Lepisosteus oculatus: one gene and its partners. The protein of the gene in region 1 purifies or fractionates together with the protein of each later gene. This does not show direct contact. Links are inferred from orthologs where the notes say so. Each region holds a gene or a part of one and is shown in the gene's direction. Other genes may lie near its edges.

Region 1 (5,236 bases):
TCAAAGACATTTCTTCTAGGATTTTTTGTATTCTTGTTTATGTTAGCAAAATGTAGCTAAATTCTGTGTACTTGTGTAATAAATACATTTTAAATAAATGGTACCAATCCATAACTCAGAAGATTTATGGATTAGCAAGGTTTATAGAGGATGGTCTTAGCGGAAATAAATATCTTGCTCTCAAGGATATCTTCAGTAAACCTAGAAATTATATTTTTATAAAATAAGAACAGTTCAACAAGCAATAACACTTCTAAAAAAGAACAAGCCTTTTTAGAAGGCCTAAAGGAGGAAAGAAAGGAAAGGTCAGCAATAAACTGCTACAGTACTCAGTGGGCCCTTAGTCAAAGGCAGATGAGTTTTTTGAGTGATTTCTGAAAACAGTTGTATGAAAAATGTGATAAACATAGAACAGATCCATTTACTCATAGACTATAAAAATAAGACTTGCTGTTTCACAGAAACTGAAGTTTGTTACTAAAGCATATTGTACTGTCAAAAAAGGTTAAGATCAAATATTTCAGAACCTTCCTTTTTGATGCAGTATAATTTTGTTTGACTGCAATTATAGTAATGTAAGGACGCCTTTTGGAGAAAAATGTTGACTGTCTTTAGTTGATACCAATACATTTATGTTTTATGATGTCCAACTAAAATAATTACATTCCAGCCCTATAAGAAAATACAAACAATTTGAAAAAAAAAGGTTGCATTTATCACTTCCTGTTGTTTCAGGCAAAGGACAGATGAGTTGAATTTTTTTACGCTTTTTGAAGTGTAAACAGGAAGACTGAAGAGAAGACATGTTACCACAGAAACAAGTTTGGCAACCAGTTGGAACAATACTGGAAGCTGTGTAAACAACAAGGATAGGTGCACGGTGCTCATGGAACAGAGCAACTTTGAGAACAAGATGGAAGAAAAGCAGTGAATTAAAAATGCACGATTTTTGGCCCTGTTAGAAACATAAATACAAATGTTTGTATCATCTTTCTTTAATAATTGTTCTAGCTTCAGACACAGAGCCTATGGTTTCAAAAACATGAGGTGATAACTGTTTTGTTGTTTCAGGAAGAAGCAACATACTGTACAATATTACAAGAATTTACATATAAAACAATTGTTCTGTGTGTTTATCTTTGTCTTTTACGGGGCACATTGCTCTTCTGTCTATTTACAACACATTTAATCATAGTCACTCAACTGGAATTCTTGCTTATAGAACTAAGGCTCTAAAGGAAAAGTATAGCTATGTAACAGGAAGGATATATGTTCTATGTGTCTATTTAGCAATGGTTTCAGACATATTCAGTATTTATTTTATATTTACTGATGTTTTTTAAATTAAATTATTGTCACAATGAAAGGATTAAAACCATTTCGCATGCTTCATATACAACTGAAAATACAAATGTATATTTGTAGTCATGAGGAATTAACTTTTTCCCACTGAATAGCCCAATGTCTTTTGAGAACATCTTGTCCTGTCCATGTTATCTACTAATAACCTATGAAGCTTATTATTGTAGAGATTGCTTTTGGAAAAAAAAACAGCCGCATATTATTTTACGCTATTTTGAAAGCTGGACAAAAGAAACTAAGAAGGTTGAATCAATCCATCGTTATACTTGTTTTTGTTTCAGACCCTACCCAATCCCCTCCCCCTCTCCACTGTTGCTAGGGGAAGTGATGTCACAGGACTATGGCAGACTGTTTCACACAGAAGGAGGGGGTTAGCAGAGGTAGTCAGTATTTTAAGCTAGAGAAGATAGCCATTAAAATCCGTCTCCATCCTCTCCACCGTTAAGAGGGATGCCATCCGAAACAACAAGAACATAATCTACACATTTCAAGCTTTCAGATAAGCCCCATATTGGTGTATTTGGAAAATCGGGGAGGTAGAAAAGGAATGGTGAAAATTGGATTGTGACAGAAGGAACAATATTATTAAAAATTGGAAGGAAGGGGGAGAGTGGTGAAAAGGGCAGATATAGAGGAAATATTGAAGGTTTCGGATATTATTAGGGGCTTAAATCGAACCTTCCGGGGGTTTGATTAAGAAAATTACTCCTGTTTACATTTTTATATAAGAATTAAAGCCATGGAACTGAGAGTTGGAAACAGATACAGACTGGGTAGGAAAATTGGAAGTGGATCTTTTGGAGACATTTATCTGGGTAAGTGGACTAAATTGATTCTGTAGATTGAAATTTAACTACAGTTATTTTTTGGACAGGACGAAGGTAAGTTGGGCTCATTTGTGTAAGAACACGGGTGCTTGTGTTATGACATTTATGAAAACGGTCTGCAATTTGAGTGAATTGTAGTAGTAGAAGGTAACATTCCCCTTAAACTGTGACGAGCACTTCTTGTTACTGTGCCGTATTTGCATTATCTGCTTCGTAGTATAAATGTGTCCAAGTAACTTAGCTGTATCCTGTTCCTTTTCACAGAATCTAGGATACCTTGTACTAAATAAGGTGAAGCGATGTGTAACTAATCGAGCTCTTTGTATCTCAACCCCCTTGTTACTAGACGGGAGTGCTCCTATTTAAAAATAAACCCGAAACAAATTCATTCCAACAACTTCTCTGACAAGGGCTTCGGTTAGTGAATCGTGCCTGCCGCTCATTTATATTACCTTTTAGTGTTGGAAACGGCGCCGTACACAATGCTATCTCGGGTTTTTGTACCTAATTGGAAGATCCCTTTGTTATGTTAAACAGAAATTGACACTTGGCTTCTTGGCATTTTGAACCTTCGGGTTTCCACAGCCATCGCAAGCCGGAACAAAACAAACGTATTTTTGCTCGTTTTTTTTGTACGCAAATCCCCCCAATTCAAACGCTGTTTTGTGATCTGCATACTTTTCTTTACCAGTGGTTAGTTACTGCTTAACCATAGATGTTAACTGTTACATTGTGTAGCTAGAGCACATACACCGTGCGGCGTTCTGGGTTCACAAAGGAGTTCCGAACCGAGGATGGTCCTTTTTTTATCCGAATTTCGGTATTTTGATCAATTTCCCAGTCGAACCTGAAGTGAGAAACATCAAACAGGAGGACCTTTCTCTTGAGGGTGCATTGTTCTTCAGGCGACATTCGCTTCCGAGCGGTTAAAACGTAACACGAAGAGGCTTGTGTAGCAGTAAATCCTGTTCACCACCACACGTAACGTAGTGGAAGAGGTGGGGGTGTAAAAAAATAGATGTTGATGTGTAAATCAAAACGAAACAGAGTATGCGTTATATAACGTGTGCAGTTGTAAGATCTGGGAGGCTGGTATGCTTTATTTAGCGGAAAAAAAACGTGTAGAGCAAATTGCAGGTTCTGTTTTCCCCCAGATTCTCGTTTGGAAGAGGAGTCACGACGGGTGGGTTTGTTTGTGTCCAACAATGGTCCTTTGCAGCGCCTGTATGCTTTTTAGGCACTCAGTGCATATTAAGCGTGGTCTGGATGTGAATCTCGTGGGTTACCAGTTCTGGCTGTCTGGTGTAAAGTTGGAAAGGTGAGGATAAGTTTCCCCCAGTATTATAACACAACACCAGAAACAGCCAGAAGGCCTGTGGGCAAGACGAACGGTATAAGGGATGTGTAAGACGATCCCTGTTGATTGGGGGTGACCTTTCCCATATGGATGTCATCTGTTACTATTGAGGTAGGCATTTTCCTTTAGTGTCACAGACTGGTTTGGCTTCTCAAGATGCATTCGATACAGGGATATAAATATGGACTGGTAAGTCCTCACTGGTTGTCTGATACGAGAAAATGTAGATTCCCATAGAACATCATTAGAAGTCCATTGTTATGACAGTAGCTATAAGGTGTTTTAAAATGGTGTTACTGAGATGAGCTGTTTTGTATGAATTGTACTTTCTCCTTAAATCAGCTTTGTATTTTATATATCTCCTTTTGGGTGTACACACAAGGCCACCTCTGTAAAGGCTCTCTGTCTTTCATTGTCTCGCAACAGTTTTTATGTTGGTACATTGTGATGGACGTTTTGTGCAGCTGCTAACATGGAGACCATGTTAAGGAATTAATTAATACGGATTTAATCATGGCTTTGGAATGAAACCTAAAACCTATTACATCAGTTGTAGTCAACAGATGCTCAAACACTTAGTCTGCCTTGGTTATGCTGGTGTTTAGCGCAGTATCACTAACTTCATACTGCTGATTTAGTGTAAGTTGGCTTTTTTGCAAACCAACTTATAGCAAATCAAAATGAGTTTCTGTCATTGACTGAAGTTTAATAACATGAAGTGTTTATTCTTAGTCCTATCCATTTGATCTTCAGAATGTCCTTGTTTTGGCATCAGACCTGGAGGCTCTGTAATGTTTTCAACTCCCAAGTTTTTTTTGTTTATTTGGTAAAGTTACAGCTAGTCTGAGCTGGAAGTTAAGGACCTTCTATTGGGTTACTTGAATCCCCATCAGGGTCAGCAGACTATCCACTTCTCCAGCGGTCCCTTCTCGCCTCTATAATGTTTAATCTCACTGCCTTTTCTTGTATGGTTGGCTCTGATTGGAGAAACTGCAAAAACCTTTATTTGATGTCAAAACTGGAAGGGCCTGTTTCTCCGGATCTGGAGAAGCAATTTTTTTAGACCTATTAAACTACATGCTTTACTGCCATCAGCTGATTTATACTTGTCAGTTTTCCTATATTAATACAAAATGGTGGCTGCATGGTTCAAACATAAATTGGTATTCAAGTTAGTATTGCTGGTGTCCTAGTCCTTAAAATATGGACTGTGGCATGGGAAGTCATTTTGCAAATACTCTTATGTACAGAAGCAACAAGAGAAAGATGTTTCTGGTTCTGTAGTATTTCTTGCTTGAGCTCTACCCTTTTAACTTAATCATAGCATTAGGAATACCACTTAGTGTCCTGATGACAGACTTGACCCATAACACTACAGCTGAGTGTGGGAAATCGAGCAGGTACAAGTGAAGAATTCCTTTGTGACAGGCTTGTTTCTGTATTGCTGCACAGAACCAGGTGGTCACACCATGTTTGCTATAGGTCTTGGACACGGGAATACTTTAACAGAGCTGGGGAATCGGGGACTGTGTAATAGGTTTTATTTGGCTCTAGTGTAGTTTTCATGATGTGGATAATTGAAGACGGAAATAAAAGGCCTGCGGGGTTATGCTGCACCATCTATGCCAGAGTCTTACTTAGTCCCAGGGAACAAAGTGTGCTGCACGTCATCTTCCTTGAAAGCAGCCAG
Region 2 (5,236 bases), on another chromosome or scaffold:
GTAGTGCCCATGGCCCCCGCATGGTAGGTCTCACAGTCCACGCAGAAACTGCCCTGTTTCACTGCTCCCAGCTGCTCCAGCTTCCTGTGCAGCATCTCCACTGTCTGCTGGACACTCTTCCCCTCCACCACCGGCACCTGGCACACACTGCCAGAGCACAGGGTTACTGCTAACACTCCACACACACACACACACTGCCAGAGCACAGGGTTACTGCTAACACTCCACACACACACACACTGCCAGAGCACAGGGTTACTGCTAACACTCCGCGCACACACACACACTGCCAGAGCACAGGGTTACTGCTAACACTCCGCGCACACACACACACTGCCAGAGCACAGGGTTACTGCTAACACTCCGCGCACACACACACACTGCCAGAGCACAGGGTTACTGCTAACACTCCGCGCACACACACACACACTGCCAGAGCACAGGGTTACTGCTAACACTCCGCACACACACACACACTGCCAGAGCACAGGGTTACTGCTAACACTCCCCACACACACACTGCCAGAGCACAGGGTTACTGCTAACACTCCGCACACACACACTGCCAGAGCACAGGGTTACTGCTAACACTCCCCACACACACACTGCCAGAGCACAGGGTTACTGCTAACACTCCCCACACACACACTGCCAGAGCACAGGGTTACTGCTAACACTCCCCACACACACACACACTGCCAGAGCACAGGGTTACTGCTAACACTCCCCACACACACACACACTGCCTGAGCACAGGGTTACTGCTAACACTCCACACACACACACACTGCCAGAGCACAGGGTTACTGCTAACACTCCACACACACACACTGCCAGAGCACAGGGTTACAGCTAACACTCCACACACACACACTGATTTCAACTAATAACCTTCCTAACTGAACAAATTATGAGTTTAACTGGTATTTTTAACACACTGCCGGACTGTGTCAAGTCAAGACTGGAGTTGAGTTCTTATAAAGCAGATAGTTTAAAAACAAAAAAGCAAAGCATCATATATCAATTAGATCGTTTAAATTATATATTTTTTAAATGCATAAAAGTTTTAAATAAATTGTTCTAGGAACCGAGCAAAACTATAGTGCTATTTTAAGAGTTGGTTCAAAAGTGTCATCTTGTGACACAACTGTGCATAAAGCTTTTTAAACATACTGCTAAATTGGAAAATGCAATCGGTTCTGGAATAACCTGCATTAGCCAGGCTGCAGTTACATAATTCAAAACAGCTCCTTTCTCCAAACCACCTTCTTCTCCTCCTGCAGCATCATCATACTGTAATTGTAACGATATACCGCCGGACCAGAGACTCCGCTAATATAGCACACCCTGTCCCTGCACGTAAACAAAGCACGCTGCCTCCTTTCAAACTGCAGACCATTTCGTTTCAAATGGCTTCTAAAGTCCGCAAACTCACAACTGTTGCTGTCGGCGCAGCCCCACCAGGGCCGCGGTTAACCAGTTTAAAAACGTCTGTTATCGTATTATTTAATATTTATGGTGAGGCTCTGGACCCGAGGAACCCAGCTGTGACTATGTTGTTGTACACGTAGGTATGAAACTCGCATTGCTCCAACACCATGTCCAGCCGTGTAAAACAATACGCTCCGGATCGCCATTGTCAATGAAATGACGTTTCTGCTGCAATAAAAGATTCAAATAACTAATCTTACCACGTTACACCCATGTTCGCCTCTGACAGAACAAGACTCCTCTAACTTCACGTTACTTCAGACACGAGCTTCCTGTTATCAGGAAGAGGAAGTGACGCCACGATCGGAGGTTGACAATAACAAATTAGTACAGCTAATTTATATTCATATTATTCTTATCGTGAAATTAAATGATCATTTTCAAGACTTCCTATAAAGACGTTTTTAAAAGTTGTCTTCAATTTTATTTTTTGTGCTTCGAGTGTCGCCATGATTGTGCGGGGTGGAGGGGCGGTGACATCATTTCCGGTGAGTGGCAAAGGGTCACGCGTGCTTGCTGAGTGGTCTTTCTCCACATGTGCGGGCAGAGTTTTAAGTCTGTTTTACAGGTTTCGGCACACAAGACAAACAGAACTCTGACAGCAGAGCGAATCGGCGCCTACGGAGATGCCGAAAGTGAAGAAGACGAAAGGCGGAGGGAGAGCGGAGCACAGCCGAGTCGCGATGGTTCCTCTGGCCGAGCAGATCCTGCAGAGCGATGAGGTGAAGAGCAGCGGCCGGGTGAAGAGCCGTGGCCGCCGGCAGGAGGCTGAGGACGAGTACGTGGACGAGCGGCTGTCCCGGAAGATCCTGGAGCAGGCTCGGATACAGCAGGAGGAGCTGGAGGCGGAGTGCGGGCTCGGGAAGACTGCGGAGAGTAAAAAGCAGCCCACGACCGTGCTGGGTGAGTGTTTAGCGAGGGTGACAGAACGCGTGCCGCTTGTCACGGGCTGGTCCTGCGTCCGGCACGGGTGCGACCTATCTCGGCTGTGCGTGCCGCGTTGTTTGTAAGGAGAGTGACATGAGTGAGGCGTCCTGTTCGTGAACTGTTCGTACAAAAGAGGTGGAAATCAGATACCGCTTCTCTCTGCTGTGCTTCAGCTGCTTGGTCACACACGGCCTCCGGCGCGACCCCTAGCGAGAGGCCACAATCCCATCACCCACCTGGCCAGGTTTTCATGAAGCCAGCCGTAATGCTGGCACTTTGAGAGCAAGTAGCAAACATTGAATCCTCCTTTGGTGTCTAGTGTCCTGAGAGTTATGGGCAGGGGGGTTGTCACCGTCTCAAACTGTATCGCTGTAGAGTGTTGCGATTTGATTCAGAACCAACAGTGAAAACTACTGGGAAGAGTTCTTAAAAACTGAGACCAGGAGGTACTTCTATACACAGAGGGTGGTGGAGGTCTGAAACAAGTGGCCCAGCCATGTTGTTGGAGTTCATTCCCTGGGCCATTTCTGGAAAGATCTGGGTGAAATGATGGGATCAGCTAGCTCCCAACAGCCCTGATGGGGTTTTCTGACCTGTTCCTGTTGCCCTGCAGGCTCTGGCTCCAGGGACTCGGACTCGGAGGAGGAGGAATGGCCGGCGCTGGGGCAGGGGGGAGATGGAGAGGACGGGGAGGGGGCGGCAGGGGCAGAGGTGGAGGTGGACCCGGAGGATGAGAAGGCCATCCAGATGTTCATGAGCAAGAACCCGCCGCTCAGGTACTGACCCGGACCGACCTACCTCACAGAGCCGGGCTCTGGCAATGCAACAGCAAACCTGCTAGAATTCCAGCAGCGCAGCCCAGAGTTTACTCAGTGTTTCTCAACCACAATCCACAAATCGTGTGCAGTGCTCTCTTCCACACGTACGGAACTTTGCTGGAAAAGCTGCCTTGAATATCTGTTTACGTCTAGAAATCCTTGAGATGGGACCATCTTTTCTCTGGCAATGAAAAGACCCCACATCAGTTCCAGCAGCAGAGTCCCTGTGTGTCCAGTAATAGTCAATGTTCAGGAGCGGTCCAGGAGTCCAGACTGTTGAGGCACTCGGGAGTTCTGGGGTCTGTCTGCCAGGGTTTGATGTGGCCAACAGCAGACAAGTGACTGTCTCCTTAAGCCCTGCGTTGTTCCAGCCTGGAATGTCCTGCCCCCGTGTGCGGAGTGCGTGGTTGCTATCCTCCGGCCTCAGTGTGTCAGGCTGCGTTCACGACTGTGCCTCTTCCCCCAGGAGGACTCTGGCGGACATCATCATGGAGAAGATCACAGAGAAGCAGACGGAGGTGGAGACGGTGATGTCGGAGGTGTCGGGGCACCCCATGCCCCAGCTGGACCCCCGAGTCATTGAGGTGTACAAGGGGGTGAAGGAGGTGAGCGTCCTGTGCTGGGCCACGGTGTGGGCGGGGACACCCTCTCTCTCAGTCTGTGTGCTGCCATTCCCTGTCTCTCCCTCACTGTCCTTTCTGACGCACTCTCCCAGGTTCTGTCCAAGTACCGCAGCGGAAAGCTGCCCAAGGCCTTCAAGATCGTGCCTGCTCTGTCCAACTGGGAGCAGGTGCTGTACATCACAGAGCCGGAGACCTGGACGGCGGCAGCGATGTACCAGGCCACACGGTGAGATCAACACTCCCCTCACAGCTCCCGAAACACTTGGCCGGCAGACCGCACTGCTGTTCTTTTGGTTTGTAGCGCTGACACTGTGCAAACGGACAGAGGAGAGGCTTTCCTGTCGTCTCTGTAAAGTGGTTCTCTTTTTTAACCAAGAAAACATTCTCTCATAAACCACTTCAGCCCCAAACTCTTTCCGTGTTCGTAGGGCTATGCGTCCAAGAACATGAGAGCACCCATTGCGCAGGATTCTGATCCACTTATAGTTTTACAAACTGCAGGCTTTTATTCAACTGGTAGCGGCTTTTGAATTTGTGATGGGAATTCATATGTGCCTCAATATGCACAGAAGAGCGTGTAAAGCTAATTGCTACTGTTATGCTTAATCGGTACAATGTATACAGTACAACCTGGTTAAACTCAACCAGGTCAAGCGACAGCTGTCGGATGTGTCCTGTGTGAATTATTGTCCGTGTGCAGGTGTCCCTTTTCTACGCCTCATTTTTCTTTCTCCCTGTTGCCACCTGCAGGATCTTCTCCTCCAATCTGAAGGAGAGGATGGCTCAACGCTTCTATAACCTTGTCCTGCTGCCGCGGATTCGAGATGACATCGCGGAGTATAAACGGCTCAACTTCCACCTGTACAGCGCGCTGAAGAAGGCGCTTTTCAAGCCTGGGGCCTGGTTCAAGGGTGAGAGTCTAAGGCTTTATAATGGCCGTCCCTGGCAGTGCAGGAGATGAGCCACATCGCTAACGTCTCTCCCCCCTCTTTCTCGCTCAGGAATCCTGATCCCCCTGTGCGAGTCGGGGACCTGCACGCTGAGAGAGGCCATCATCATCGGCAGCATCATCACCAAGTGCTCCATCCCTGTCCTGCACTCCAGGTACACAAGCAGGAGGGAGGGCCGGCAATATTATTTCGTTATTTGGCAGGCACTTTTATCTAGCGCAACCTCCAGAAGTTACTATTGCAGCACCTTTTTTTTTCCCCCATGTACACATGTTGGTGTCCATTTCTGGAGGTGTGTTGTTTTACTCTGGGGTAAACAGCAGAGGCCCCACCTGGGATTCAAACCCACAGCCCTTTGGGCAGGGGCTCAGAGGTCCCCTTCATGCTGCAGAGGTTCGGGCAAGTTCAGCACACTGAATGGTCCCTG
Region 3 (5,236 bases), on another chromosome or scaffold:
CATACATGTGCAAGAAAAACATACAAAACAGTCAATTACAATATAAAGAGTGTTTTTAATGACTCATTAAAATCACATATAATTTTATATATTGAAATAATAAAATAATTACTGTATATCACTCTTGGCTAATTTAGGGAACAGGATTTGTGTTTACCTGTAGAAATGCGAATTAACTTTGGATCTTTTCTAACCTATTTGCAAACCAGAGTTTAAAATAGCATCTGGGCAAAAACACAATTATAAATACACTTACAAACACACACTGGATGTAAGTAAACTGACAATAGCTTTTGGATAGTTCTTTCAAAATATGGATAAAGTTAATGCTTTATGATGTATGCCTTATTCACTTATGCAAGAAACCAGTGACCTCTGTCAACAGTAGAAGTTAAGGCAATATAGATGATATAGCAATACTAACAAAGAGTGCAGTGCAATGGTATCCTTTCAAATGAAATAATTAAGGATAAACCTATAAACCATCAGTGGGGACATACTAGCAAAGATTCAGGTAATAGTAGCAGTGGATAGTGACGTAATATTCAAAAGGGTGGTTTACATCACACTTTTAAATCAATACCTTACCCTGACCACAAGTGTCTTAACTATCTCTTTATTTGTCATTGTTCACTGTCTGCTCAGGTACATTCCTTTACTGGGTCATTTCATGGCACAATATTTCATTTTAAATGTAAAAAGCCTGTGAAGATAGTTAAGTAATTTTAATAGTAATCTGTTTTGGGATTTTAACTCCTGTCTTACTCTGAGTAGGCATGTTCCTAATAATTCCTTCGTGCACCTTTTTATTTACACGAATTGTGGCCTTTTGTGGCTAATGTTTTATGATGGTTTACTGTTAAAAAAAGCTTTTCTTTTGTGGGGTCAGAAAATGAAGAATTTACCCCTGCAAGAGAGGGGTAAAAATGATTATGGGAGATTTTCTGAAGTGAATTAAATGTTTTTTATATATTTGATTTATGTTCCAATAACACAGAATGTGTTCACTGAAAATCTGTACTGAACTTTTCAGCCATTGCGTGCAGATTTGGAAAACACGGCTTCATAAATATCAATAAGCATTGAGTAGTTAGGTACATAATTGTCTTAAAATGATCAGTACAGTACAGTAGACGTTAGCGATAAACAGCATAAATACCACGTAACGTAACTTTGCAATTATCAATTTTCCTTTGCAAACAACATGTATTCAGTTCTCTGACAGGCTTTGATTGCGCAACTTTAATGTATTTGTATACATACGCCGGCTAACGTTCGTCTAACAGGAGAGCTTTTCTTTTTTTTTTTAGCCTGCCTCATCCTGTAACATTTTTTTTTAATTTTTAATTTTTAGAGAACAAAACAAAACCATTTTACAAATAAACATCCATTATTCAGCCTTACATTGCAGGCACAAATTAACAGGAGAGCTTTTCACAGCTGCTAATTCAAAAAAAAGTGAAACAATCAAGTTTCAACAATGCACGTTTTTTTTTACATTGTTAATTTAGTTAAGATTAACGTCCACTTATTGGACAAACCGTAAACCCCCACTGGAGTGCTTGGTGGACCTGACTCCAAAGCCAACCAAACACATTCTACCGAACTCCTTGCTTCGCAGCTCTTAATACCATAGATACTCCAGCACGCCAGCAGGGTTGCCCTTTAAAGGAAATGACCTCACTTGTGAATGCCGGAAGTGCTGTTGTGCGGAAGAGTAACATGGTGACGTTGTTACAGAGCCGTGCAAGTGGTTCGCTGTTGATGTTGTGCTCTTGTCGGAATGAATAGTAGTATAGTTGCGGAAACTTTAAGGACTTGACTCAGTAAAGTAAGAGTTAATGTATTATTTTAAGTGTAGCCTTTACTCGGAAGCCCTTTGTTTAAATGTATATGCGGTGTTAGAATGTGTTTCTTGTCATTGTGATGTGAAGTTTGTTTATTAATTGCACAGTGTCGCGCAATAAGCATTTCGGCAGAATGCAAAGAGCTAAGGTTAACAGCTTGAGTCCTCTTGTGCATGTTTCTCGCTGGAATCGGTATACCATTTCGTTACTACAGTTTTCAGATTCTCTGATATTCTTGGATAATATCCTCCAAATAAAACTCCTGTCAACATTTGGGTTTCTATGCAGTTAAATTGTTTTACCAAAGTATAAGATTTACTTCAGGAACAGGCTGTATTTGTATTTGTGTATTTGCTTCTCTCCACTTTCTATTAATATTAGATAAATGAATTAAAGGAGTTGGCTGTACTTTTGCTTCAGACAGAAATTCCGGCTTTCATACTAAGACCAAGTTACACGCACGACGTCTGTCGATTTTATGTTTGTCCAAATTCCGCCACTGTTCCCGTGTTCCTTACAGTTGCGCAGATCAGCAGCTGTGGGGGGGAAATTGCTCTGCTTTGGGTTGCACCTTTATTTGTCATTGGAATTAAACAGTCAATTCGTAATGTGCATTCAGCTTTAAGCCTAAGGATCTCTGAAAAGGAGAGTTGTTTACTCTCATACCATAGGGTTATTCATTTGTAATCTTTGTCTTAGGGCAGGTGTTGTTAGGACAAACGCTTAAGGCTATCCATGCTTTAATTTGCAGTCATGATACCACAGCAGAATCGGAGAGCCCAGCACTGCGCTGGGTGTATTTTTGTTTCTAAAAAGTTGACAGTTGACTGCATGCCATTGCGAGTAATGGACATTAAACAATGAACGTCTGTGCGGATGAAACTGAATTATTTGTCTGCAGTGTTGCTTGTTGTTGTCCTGTGTCTAAAACGTTTCGCCCATTTGCCGTCAGAAACGGTTTCACCCAGGTCTTTCTTTCCACCCGCAGTGTTAAAGGCATTCCATCCACCATGTTGGAGTCTTACGTTACTCCGCTGCTGATGAGCTATGTCAACCGCTACATTAAGAACCTGAAGCCATCGGATCTGCAGCTGTCGCTCTGGGGCGGCGATGTTGTCCTCAGCAAGCTGGAGCTGAAACTGGATGTCCTCGAGCAGGTAAGATGTAGCCCCAGAGACCCTGCCTGGTGTGTGGGTTTGCATTGTATACGAGGGCAGGAAAAAAACGAAAATAAATTAAGCTGCCATTGTGAGACAACGGGGTCATGCTCTTGAGTGACACAACGTAGACCTAACTTTTCGAAAATCCTCAAAGGCACTGACGAAACGGACTTCTTCAGAGTGAACGGTGGCACGGGAACCAGAGAACGACAGAGGAAACTAAGTGTATGAGCATTTCAAACTGAGCACAGGAAGCACCCAGAATTGTACCCAGAAGACAGTGGGAGTGCGGGAGTGTAGAACAAGCAATCCAGTCAAGTGGTTGAAGTCAGTATCCAGGTTTTGTTTCAAGAAATGGCTGAATAAGATCCTTGGATCATTAAGCTACTAAGCTACAAAATAGTTTCATGCTTGGTGTGCCGAAAGGCCTCCTGTCACTTGTAACTTGGTTCACATCTCAGCTCTGTATGTCTACAGATGTGGAGTGCCTCAGTCAGTGTTTAATTGACCCAGTGAACCCAAGGTGCAAGAGGCTAGACTCGTTCAGAGCGTACTCATTTTGCCTTTGACCGCTACCACTGCTTATAAGGTGCTGTCAGTTGTTAGATTCTGTAGTGATTATGCTGAAAATAGGAATACAGTTGTGTGCAATTATTGAAGTTCTTTAGCCTTCTTGTTTCTTTTTTTAAAATGTGCTGGTGGCTTTGTCACAGGTTTACCATACATGTTTGAAAATAGGCGTTATTTTGCCCCATTAAGTGGTCTGTGTTGAAAGCCTTCTCTTGTGAAGAAAGTCCTGCTACTATATGCTGGCTTGGATCATCCCCAGCTGAAACATAAGTATTAAGAGGGGTAGGGGCTCAGTCAATGCAGGAGCTTGTCCTATATATCGCTAGTTCAAATCGGGGTCTTGATGCTAACTGGGATTCCTAAGGTGACAGTGTGCCTTTGTTGAAGGGGTGCTATTAGTTGGTTAGGGCCATCTGACTGCCAGGCATTGACTCTCGCGAAGTCCCAGCTGCCTGCAGTGCTATCGGTTAAATCCAGTCTTTGCTAGCTCCCCTGCTAGGCATTATGAAGCTTCCTGCGTGTCAGTGGCTCTGCATGTCTGCTCATCTCATTCAGTTGCTGCTGGAAGCTGAGTCTTAAACCAATTGGTGGCTGAAGTAATGGGTCTATAGTAATACTGTATATAAGATATGTCCCCATACAATAATATATTGGGCCTTTTTGAATAGCCATTACAGCCTGACCAGTGAAACAACAGTGGACTGCTGTCCTTCTGCCTTTGTTTTATTTTAGGGAGAGTCTAAGCCCTGTATTTAAACTTGATGAATATGGTGTCACAATGCACCTTTAATGAAGTGGGTATGTGTACACATTCAATATAAATGAATATATTAAAGAACTTTGCTTCAGTCTAACCTAAGATGGCTTTCTCTCGTGTAAGTGGGACACGGTGTGTTACGCTATACATTGAAGCCATTGACCAGAGAGCAGAATCTTAGTGGATATGTGTGGTTTTGTTTCTTCAAAGTTTGGGCAGTAGTGCAGTATTAAATAGGAAAGGTCCATTATACAGCAGGATATCAAAGGGATATCATAAGTTATTTTGATTAGCGGTAGTGAATGCTGTGGGAATGTTTTCTGGGAAGTGTAATCTTAAACTCCTGGCAGATTTCTCTCTTTTGCAGTCAGTTTGTCTGAATTTGGATACAATATATAATCTGTAAAGAAATAATTAGAAATAGTCTTTTAAGTGAAATAGTGTGGGTTTAAAAGCAGACATGCAATAAATCCATGACAGCTCTTCCTTCAAAAATACATTTAATTATTAGCTTTTGGCGGGGAAAAGAAAAAAAAAACAAAGATCCTGAGCTAAGTATGCAGTGTGGTTTCATAAGATGTTTTTTCATGGCGTTAGTGCATTACAGCTTTAAAGCTGTTATTAATGCTTTACACTTACACTTGTCCCACATGAATTACTCTTTATAATTTTCTTCTCAAAAACACATGATAAATTTTACTTTAGTGTCTGTTGTGAAGTTACCCCAAGTTTTATAGTCTTTTTTTATAAAAGACAGAAAAATGAAAAATGAATGGGGCACATTTGTTTTTAACATTATGATGCATTTCACGGTATGGCGGGGCTCTGTTTGAGGTGAGAATGCATTTGGTTTTGAAAGACTGGAGGAATTAAAAGCCACAGTCTGCTTGGACCACCATGGA

What was found.
Region 2: the proteins of csnk1db (region 1) and bysl purify together in Homo sapiens (affinity purification with mass spectrometry; 3 studies listed by BioGRID and IntAct, with this or other methods). This does not show direct contact. The link is inferred for Lepisosteus oculatus from reciprocal best matches to the Homo sapiens genes CSNK1D and BYSL.
Region 3: the proteins of csnk1db (region 1) and intermembrane lipid transfer protein VPS13B purify together in Homo sapiens (affinity purification with mass spectrometry; 3 studies listed by BioGRID and IntAct, counting the BioPlex papers as one, with this or other methods). This does not show direct contact. The link is inferred for Lepisosteus oculatus from reciprocal best matches to the Homo sapiens genes CSNK1D and VPS13B.

What each region holds. Positions count from the first base shown.
Region 1 is NC_090704.1:39,446,012-39,451,247, forward strand, and holds the start of csnk1db (casein kinase I), read left to right. Parts: upstream 1-1,695; 5' UTR 1,696-2,101; coding exon 2,102-2,177; intron 2,178-5,236. UniProt on the Homo sapiens protein: Essential serine/threonine-protein kinase that regulates diverse cellular growth and survival processes including Wnt signaling, DNA repair and circadian rhythms. It can phosphorylate a large number of proteins.
Region 2 is NC_090700.1:40,791,652-40,796,887, forward strand, and holds the start of bysl (bystin), read left to right. Parts: upstream 1-1,965; 5' UTR 1,966-2,117; coding exon 2,118-2,394; intron 2,395-3,031; coding exon 3,032-3,194; intron 3,195-3,702; coding exon 3,703-3,841; intron 3,842-3,951; coding exon 3,952-4,085; intron 4,086-4,609; coding exon 4,610-4,770; intron 4,771-4,860; coding exon 4,861-4,963; intron 4,964-5,236. Other genes in the region: med20 (mediator of RNA polymerase II transcription subunit 20), read right to left, coding at 1-147, 1,692-1,705. UniProt on the Homo sapiens protein: Required for processing of 20S pre-rRNA precursor and biogenesis of 40S ribosomal subunits. May be required for trophinin-dependent regulation of cell adhesion during implantation of human embryos.
Region 3 is NC_090705.1:8,401,655-8,406,890, forward strand, and holds the start of intermembrane lipid transfer protein VPS13B, read left to right. Parts: upstream 1-1,716; 5' UTR 1,717-1,831; intron 1,832-2,835; 5' UTR 2,836-2,857; coding exon 2,858-3,004; intron 3,005-5,236. UniProt on the Homo sapiens protein: Mediates the transfer of lipids between membranes at organelle contact sites. Binds phosphatidylinositol 3-phosphate. Functions as a tethering factor in the slow endocytic recycling pathway, to assist traffic between early and recycling endosomes.